2 linked regions of the Rattus norvegicus genome follow. The protein of the gene in region 1 interacts with the protein of each later gene in a pairwise test. Links are inferred from orthologs where the notes say so. Each region holds a gene or a part of one and is shown in the gene's direction. Other genes may lie near its edges.

The links.
Region 2: the proteins of Cibar1 (region 1) and Cby1 interact in binary tests that used the Homo sapiens proteins (3 or more experiments, as listed by UniProt). The two-hybrid records come from large-scale screens. The link is inferred for Rattus norvegicus from reciprocal best matches to the Homo sapiens genes CIBAR1 and CBY1.

What each region holds. Positions count from the first base shown.
Region 1 is NC_086023.1:30,426,719-30,431,175, reverse strand, and holds the start of Cibar1 (CBY1-interacting BAR domain-containing protein 1), read left to right. Parts: upstream 1-1,418; 5' UTR 1,419-1,481; coding exon 1,482-1,714; exon of another isoform or gene 1,715-2,132; coding exon 2,133-2,367; exon of another isoform or gene 2,368-3,337; coding exon 3,338-3,358; coding exon of another isoform or gene 3,359-3,451; exon of another isoform or gene 3,452-4,234; coding exon 4,235-4,303; exon of another isoform or gene 4,304-4,457. UniProt on the Homo sapiens protein: Plays a critical role in regulating mitochondrial ultrastructure and function by maintaining the integrity of mitochondrial morphology, particularly the organization of cristae.
Region 2 is NC_086025.1:113,095,848-113,100,384, forward strand, and holds the start of Cby1 (protein chibby homolog 1), read left to right. Parts: upstream 1-1,464; 5' UTR 1,465-1,508; exon of another isoform or gene 1,509-1,680; intron 1,681-2,055; exon of another isoform or gene 2,056-2,328; intron 2,329-3,537; 5' UTR 3,538-3,574; coding exon 3,575-3,652; intron 3,653-4,537. UniProt on the Homo sapiens protein: Inhibits the Wnt/Wingless pathway by binding to CTNNB1/beta-catenin and inhibiting beta-catenin-mediated transcriptional activation through competition with TCF/LEF transcription factors.

The sequences.
Region 1 (4,457 bases):
ATAAACCTTTGGTGGTGGGTAGGATTTATTTCAGCGTGAGTGTACCTTATTGGTTGGTACTGGGGTACTGGGAATGCTTCATTTGCTTGAATAGGAATCCCAGGTGCTTAAACCTGTAATCCAGCCACTAGGCTCAGTGACTACCTCAACTGTGGTAGAGGTGGGGGTCACAAGGACACACGCACCACGGTGGCATGCAGGTCCAGAACAAGGAGGGAGCAATTCTTACTCCTACTGGTCTCAAGGTGAGATTCGGGGTTTAGGCATCCGATGCCCACCTCCCAGTTGCAGGATTCATTTGCTCAACATCATAGCTTTCAGTGGGATGATGAAGCTGGTAGCAAAGTCACCTTCTGGACCAAAGAACAGAACCAAAGAACTATCCCTGCCATCTGCACAATCCCAAACTGACTAGTGGATTTTTGGAAGCCACCAGGTCTTATAATTTGTTTATACAACAAAACTTGACCCAGTAGCACATTTCTGGGTTGTATTATATGTGTTTGATTGTTGGCTAGCTTTATCCCTCCACCGAGGCTGTGAGCTCTTCTAGAGCAAAAACTGTCCTGACCTTAGGTTAGGACTCTATTCTCAGAGGCTATGGGCATTCGAGAAGCAGACAAAGCTCGAAGTTGGACTATGAGTTCACTCAGAAGAGAAGCCTCCACCTCAGAAGTTAAAGGAAGGCTCCAGATTATCTGTGTCTCTTTTAACTGGGGGGGGGGGTTTCATTCAGGCCCACGCTTCAGTTGGGTCTAACAATCTTTTTCACAAAGTAGAAACTCAGTTAACTGCAGGGGGAAGAGATGAAATTTAATGATGAAGCAGTAGGCTCTGTTGGGCTGCCTAGATTCGTTGCTGATGTTATTTTGTTTGGTTTCGTTATTGTTGTTCGTTTCTGTTTGATTTATTTGTCCAAAGTTAGAGTTACTTGAAAAGAGGGAACTTAGATTCAGAAAATGTCCCTGTCAGATTGATCGGTAGGCTGTTTTCTAGATTGATGATTGATGTGGAAGGGCCAGGAAATACTGTAGACAGTATCGGCCCTGTGCAAGTGGTCCCGAGGTATAGAAGAAAGTCAACTGAATAGGCCAGCAAGCTGTGTTGCTCCATGGCCTCTGCTTCAGTTCCTGCCTCCAGGTTCCTGTCTTGAGATCCTCAAAGAACTGTGACTTTGTTAGCCAAAGAAACCCTTTCCTTCCCAACCTGATTTTTGTCACAGCAATAGAAATCTAACTTATAGAGTAGAGCGGTTCTTTCCCAAAGGCAGCTTCCACGAGCCACACATTATTTAACAAAGAAGCGGGGACAAGCAGGGCATTAAGTCCGCACATCCAGAAGCAGAGCCTGAACCCCATTCACCTTTATTTTCACATTCCCCTTCCGGTTGCTGGTGGGTTGTTTTTCCTCCTTTGCTTCCAGCGGCCCCGAAGGGCTAGAGAGCTGCACTGAAGGAGGATGCTTGATGTTCCATCAGCCCAATGCCCTCTGGTCTCCCTTGCCCTTCTCTTGACCGCCGGGGCGCGCGCCGCGTCGCCACGGAAACGCCGGACAGGAGCGGCGGCGCGCCAGGCGCGCTCTCGGCTCCCGGTGGAAGTGGCGGCGTCTCCTGCTCCCGCGCGCCCTGGCGGCCCGGAGCCGCGCTCGTTGGGCTCCCATCCCGGGTCCCCGGCGGCGCGAAAGGCAAGATGTTGAGGCGTAATCTGGATGACCGGTAACCACCCGAGGCCTCGTCGTGCAGGCCGGCGGAGGGAGAGGGCCGGGTGGGCGAGAGAAGCGGGGCCTAGGGCCTGGAAGCCGGCAGGGGCTGGAGGAGGCCGCACGGTCCCCGTGGCGCTCCGCGGCCGAGAGAGTCTGCGGGCCGACCGGTCCTCAGGAGCTGGACCCGGCCCCGCCGCGGTACAGAGCCCAGGAGGCCGCTCCTTCACGGTCCACCGGGCCCGGGCCCTTCCCCAGGCCTGCAAGGTCCTAGGCTAGACCTGCATGAGGTCCTAGAGAAGGGCGGACCTTTGGGAGAGTTGGGAATGTTGCCCTTCAGGGCTTCAGGATATCCCGGGAATGTTTGCATATAAAATTAACCGGGACACCATCTTACTGTTTTAAGAACAGTGTTCTGTGTCTCCTTTTTCTAGAGACGCTCAAACAAAACAACTGCAGGATGCTGTCACAAATGTGGAGAAGCATTTTGGAGAGCTTTGCCAAATCTTTGCTGCTTATGTACGGAAAACTGCCAGGCTTCGAGACAAAGCCGACCTCCTGGTGAATGAAATCAACCTGTATGCCTCTACCGAGACCCCAAATTTAAAGCAGGGTCTGAAAGACTTTGCCGATGAGTTTGCCAAACTTCAAGATTACCGCCAGGCAGAGGTATGAAGTGAGGTTCTGGTGTCATTGGCCCAAGAAGTAGTGTGTAGGCATTGTGGACGTTCCGTGGTAACCTACCTAGCAGTGGTAAAAGTTCCCTTGATAAATGTCTTTACTATTTGTAACACCGTGGGTCCTCTATTCGGAACCTTTCTATGACCAGATAGCTTTCAACCTAAACGGCAGGTGTGTTTGAAGTCTTGAGTTTACAGCTACATTTGCCAGCAGGATAACAGGGAGCAGGCATAAGCACTCGTGGGGAAGGAAAGCATCTCTACGGCTTGGGTGGGCCAAGTGCGTTTTAAAGAATGACTAGAGATGGAAATGCTGAACATGTCAAGATGATAACAAATTACTAACGGATGGGCTACATGTTGCTGATATTACCATGGTTTGGAAGTTGAGCAAGAAGCAAACCAAGTGGTACAGCCGAGAGATTAGCTGTGTGTTTGCTTTGAGTGACCAGAGCCTTGATCTTGGGAGATCTTTTTTAAAAACCAATATTTTCTTAATACTGCATAAGCACTTTCACGTACTTCTTTTAGATGCCAGCTAGCTTAACAAAAGTTGGCATGTTCAAACTCCATTGCTTTTTTAACTTTTGTAACAAGTCCCATTGATCTTTCTCATGTCTAAAGCCTAAAACAATTTTACTGAAAATTAAAACGAGAGAAATAATATGAACTTGTCATCATTATGCATACAAAACTTGAGTACTAATCACTCAGGGATACCTGTAAGAAAAATCTTGAGTTCCTGGCATACACTTCTTCTATAACAAGCAATACTCAGTTATACATGGTAACTGGAGACTGAATGTTTCAGAAATAGTTTTTACTCACAGATAACCCTAAAGTTCTATTTTTACCAGTAATTTCCCCTTTCTAGAAATTTTTTATGCTAGTTATCAAATAGCAAAGTGGACTGATTTGCATTTGCTCTGCTCTGTTTCCCTGCTTACCAAATGGTGGAGATGCTAATGAACATGGCAAAGGTAGGCAAGGGAGAGACAGGGGAAACTGTTAGAGCAGGCGTGGATAAACCTCACAGTGTGGAGTCTGAGCTGCTGTGCATTACGCTGTCCTGAATATTCATAACACTTATCTCAGAATTCTGAATAGTTAAGTCATTATTTTTTACATTTTCCTAAACTCTTTCAAAATGAAACATCCACATAACATCATCTCTAGAAACTAAAGAATTGACATGAAATAAAATGGATTGATTAGGTAAACGTGTCATTTTTTCAAAAGGATTTTATTTGCTGTAAAATGTTTGTTTTAGGAATAGATGTCATTTCCTTGCTCACCCTGACAAAGTTTCAGTGCCCCATCGTTTTCTTGTATATGTATTTGTATAAATTTTTTCTTCAGTTCCTTTTACTAATGTTATTAAAAGAATTGCTATTACTTTGTGATGAAAATTTAAATGAGTTTGAGAAACTTTAATTCTTGATGAAAAGAGATCAGCTGTAGAGTTTGGCAGATGGGCAACACTAAGCCCACTGATCTTGTTCTCTGGGATTTGATATATCATCCCGAAGCTGTTTGCTTTTGAGGGTTTGTTCCTCTAAATGTTCCTCGCTGTATGTTTCACCTTTGATTTTTCTGGACAGTTGAGCTATCTGAATTAGGAGTCAGTATCCGTGATGTCTGTAATATCTGACAGTATACGTTTGAACACATAAAAATGGTAACCGTACTGAAACTATGGATGCCTTAAACCTCTGAAAGCTGTAACTTAAAATTTCGAGACTTATTAGCCTGTGCATTATTTATTTCAGATTAAACAACGTAGATCTTTATTTCAGGATTTAAATTTTGATATTTCTATGTTTCTTTTCAGTTATATTTTATATAATTTTCAATAGGTTGAAAGACTTGAAGCCAAAGTAGTTGAACCTTTGAAAGCTTATGGGACCATTGTAAAGATGAAACGAGTAAGTCAGTCCATTTTTTTATCTACTTGGTATTATGACAAGGTATGAGGTTTTGTCTTTTTCATAACAAATAGAAAATAACATACAATTATTCTTTTTATATACTTTGAGAAAGATTTTCTTGGATCTTTAAAAATAATAAAGCATTTTTACC
Region 2 (4,537 bases), on another chromosome or scaffold:
CTAGTCACACAGGGAAACAAAGTCCTTAAGTTTGGCTAGCGTGACTGAAGAAGGTAAAATTTCTTTTAAAATTAAAAACAAACATGTGGTAAAATTTAAGATATTTGTTTAATCATGTTTTGGACAAACCCAGTTAAATGCAATAATACTCAAGTTAATTTTATCTGTTTTGAATTGACCTTTAAAAGCACAGGGCTGGGTATGGTAGCCCTAGCCTTTAATCTGAGCTCTCTGGAGACAGAGGCAGGAGGGTCTTTTTAAGTTGGAGACCAGCCAGAACTACATGGTGAGCCCCAGTCTCAAATCTCAAACAAATGAAGCAAAACAAAAGAGTAGGGGTCTGAAGCCAGGCTGGGTGTGTGTCTGTAATTCCAGCACTGAGAGGCTGAGGCAGGAGGATGAGATAGGAGTATCCAGTGAGACCTTATCTCAAAATATGAAAGGTGCTTCAAGGATATCACCGGAATCAGCGTGCACAAGGCTCTGCATTCAACATCCAAAAACTGCTAGAATGATCGCAATTTACAAACGTGCTCTGCTTTGTGTTTCTGTAGTGATTGCTACACCAGATATGGTGGGTTTTGATGTGGAATTCTCTCTTCGAATGCTGTGTGACGAAGGTGGAGGAAAACTGTTTGGAGGCATAGAACGCTCATCCCTGTCATTTATGGCTGGGATGACCTCGTGCACCCACTAGGCAGATAGGAAACGCCTTCTGAATGGCCCATTTCTTCATTTACCGAACTGAGCTACAATACCGGCCCTTAGAACTGACTCTCCAGTTTCTCTGCCCCTTGTTCACTAGGCGACCTTCCCTGAACCTCAGTTTCCCTTGCTTGTGGGAGTGTGGAGGAGGCAGGCCTGGCAGGAGCCAGTTTGCTATTGGCAGGGAGTCGTCGTGCTTGTCTTACCTGAAAGCTTCGGCAGAATCCCAAAGCCTCAGGGCGAGTTCCGCCACCCGCCCCTCGGGCGACCCGACCAAGCTCCGGATGGCCGCCGGCATCCGCGACCCCAAACCGCCGGGAAGGGGCGCGGTTTGCTTTGTGGCCGGGGCGGGGGAGTCGCAGGTCGGGCCATTTTGCTACTATGAGTCCAGCCAGGGTTACCACGTACTCCTTTAACACAACAAAGCAGCTCTCAGCCTGCCTTGTTGCCAGTGTACACGGTTACTATGGCGACAGCGGCGACCCGGGGACCAGACCAACACGTTTAGGGGGCACGCCTCTCCCGGCCTATGCCACAAGGCTTTGTGTGTATCTCCAGAAGACGTGCTCGAGGCTTTCCTCTATTCATGAACCCGAGGGAGACTCAGGGGACCTCGCTGCTTCTCGGAGGCTCGTCTCGGAGGTGGTTTTCCCTCTGTCCTCAGTGGTAGAAACCAGAGAAGCCGCGCGTGCGCACGATGGGGAGCCGGGTGCCAGCCAATCGCGGTCGCGGCAGTTGACGCGGCCTGGGCGGATCCTTGCAGAACCCTGAGGGCTAGCTCTGGACTCTGGCTTTGCACACAGGTACATCTGGGAGCAGCGTGCGGATACCCGTATCAGTCGTGGTGGGTGGGATGCCTGGGTACCCCTGGAGAGGATAGCGGGCAGGCCCGGTGGTGGCGTGCTCCCCTGGTGCATCTTGCGACGGTGACTCGGAGATGGTGTTTTGACCCATCCTTTGAAGGTCTTCTAACCGGTACTGAACTCTTAGGTGCTGTGGCCCGTGAGCCTGCAGACGCGAGACTGGCTGGCTCTTAACTTTTTCGAGACACGTTCCCTTTGAGAATCCAGTGAAAACCAAAGATGCTTCCTTTAATTTTTTTTGTCAGAAGGAAGATAATGTGTTTTATAGCCCGATGCAAACTAAAGCTTCGCACAATAAGTGCAGTTTCCTGAAAAGGGAGACAAGTCGATCTACTTCCCAGGGTCGTGCTGAGCATCTGATGTCCCAGTAATTTGTAAACATGAAAGCACTCTTAACCTGCGAGCTTGGTGCTGTTCTTTGTGATTATAAGGGACTCAAGGGATGGAGGGATGGCTCTGAGACACAGAGAACCGGTTGTTGTTGCAGAGAATCCGAATTCGATCCCCAACTCACAAACGCCAGTAATTCTAGTTCCAGGAATCCGCAGACACAAGGCACGACGCTCGGAGGGTGAGCAACAGTGTTGGTTGGAAACCAGGTACAAGCCCTTAACTTTCTTGGCCCTGGGTCCTCTATGAGAGAGCTTCACTAAAGAATCCTAGGATCTCAGCAGAATCGCCTATCCAGCCATCCAGAGGTCTTGCAGCTGCTGATATGGGAGCATCTTTCTGGGCACTAATATGTCCTGTGCCTTGAAGGGTGTGTGTGTGTTTAAAGAGTCTGTGAGGGGGCCTGGGGGAAAGGCTCAGTGAATGTGGGTACTTACTGCTCAAGCATGAGGACCTGGATTCAAGTCCCCCAACGTCTCGGTCAAAAGCTTGCTAAGGACTCTGACACGTGCAATTCTAGGACTGCTGGCGGCAGAGACAGGTCTGCTGGTACTTGCTGGTCACCAGTGTAGCTCCAGGTTCAGTGAGATACCCCGTCCAAAGGGAATCCAAGAGGACACCCGATGTCCCCGTCCAGACCCTGCATCTTACACACATACGTATTCATAAAGCACACGCATACCCCCGCACATATGCACGCATACAGCACAGAAGCACACACGTTGAAAAAACAAAACCTGCCATGAAGCCTTGTGGTTTTATGACTTCTCTTTACTTGTTTTACTTAAAAGCTGGCCTCTTTCCCGAGCCTACGTGATGTTACGGATTTTATGAGGGGGGTTTTGTGCTGTGATTAAAACTAGTGTGCTGAGTGTCATTGTCAGCGCCATCCTGGGCTGGCTCTCTCCTTAAGACCTCACCAAGTCAGGTGACTTGACACACGGACTGAGTTATAAGTACCACTCTCGATCCGGGAGTGAAATCCGAGTATCGCTTCATGGCTTTAGAATGACGTCTATGCAGAAGTTAGCGTTCCTGGTGCTGCTCTTACTGTCTGACAGGAATAGTAGAAATATCCTCCCGTGCGCCACACGATGCCAACGGGTGACAGAGTTGCCTGAGGTTAGCATCACTGTGAAGCCACTCGAACTTTGGTTCCAATGCCTGTTCCCACTGAAGACCTTGGCTGTCCAAATGTCACCAATCAAATGGGGTGAATAGGAGGGGCGCGTCGAGGAGTAGTTGAGTTAAATGAGATTATGCAAAGACCTTAGCACACACTTCCTGGTACACAGGAAGCACCCAGCACATGGGTGCTCCTACCTGTTAGGACTTCAAGTCTTCTTTTTTTTTTTTTTCCGGAGCTGGGGACCAAACCCAGGGCCTTGTGCTTGCTAGGCAAGCGTTCTACCACTGAGCCAAATCCCCAGCCCCGACTTCAAGTCTTCTTTTACTGTTCTGTCTAAAGGGATGACTGTTCCCAGAAGGTATTGCCAGGATTGGTAATCCTCAAGGGGTAAGATGTTCTCATGGTAAGAGAACAATGAAGTGAGGTCCCTTTTTTTTTTTCTGACTTTAGGAGAAAGAAGTGCCAGTGTCTCCTCATTGAGTCAGGGATGCCTCTCTTTGGGAGCATATTCAGCCCGAAGAAGACTCCTCCTCGGAAGTCGGCCTCTCTCTCTAACCTGCACTCTGTGAGTGGAGACTTGGGGTGGCATGAGTGGTCTCTCGGTAGAGAGGCAACACTGCGGGAGGGCATCCTCGGAGTTTATATTATTAGTCAAGTTTGAATTCCTGCATGGGAACTACTGTCGGTGTTTATTCAAGAGCTATGACAGCCAGCCTCATTGTGAAATGGTCCCATGTGATATTGTCCAATCTGACTTACATTTTAGTTCCAGAACTTGTTCAAATAATTAACTCCAGTCATGTTTAAAGATCAAATTCAAGCTGCGTATCGTGGCACACCTTTACTCTCAGCGATCAAGAGGCTAGCCTGGTCTACTCAAGTTCCGAGGCATCCAGGGTACAAAGAGAGACTCTGTCTCCAAAAATAAATAAAATAAAATAAAATAATCAGTTCAGGGCCTTGAGAGATGGCTTAGCCATTAAGGGTCCTTGTTTGCTCTTGCAGAGAATCTGGGCTGGGTTCCCAGTTCCCAATGATGGCTCACAACCCTCTGTAGCTATTGTTCCAGGGGATCCACCACCCTCTTCTGGCCTCTTCTGGTATTGCATTTACAAAGTTCACAGACATACGGGATGGCAAAGCACTCATACACATAAAATAAAAATAAATCTGCTGTTGCTTTGAGAACAGAGTCGCTGTGTAGTCCTGGCTGTCCTGGAGCTCTCTATGTAGAACAAGATGGCTTCAAACGCACAGAGATCTGCCTGCTTCTGCCCCGGAAGTGTTGGGATTAATGGTGTGCACCCCACAATCTGCCCACGGCCCAAATCAAGTTTATTTTGGAGAGTCACAGAAAATATTGACTTGCCATTGTTAGTGACATTTGAAAGGATAACAGTTCCAAAGGAAGGGTTCCAAAACCATTTGGGGCTATGATAGCACTGGAACA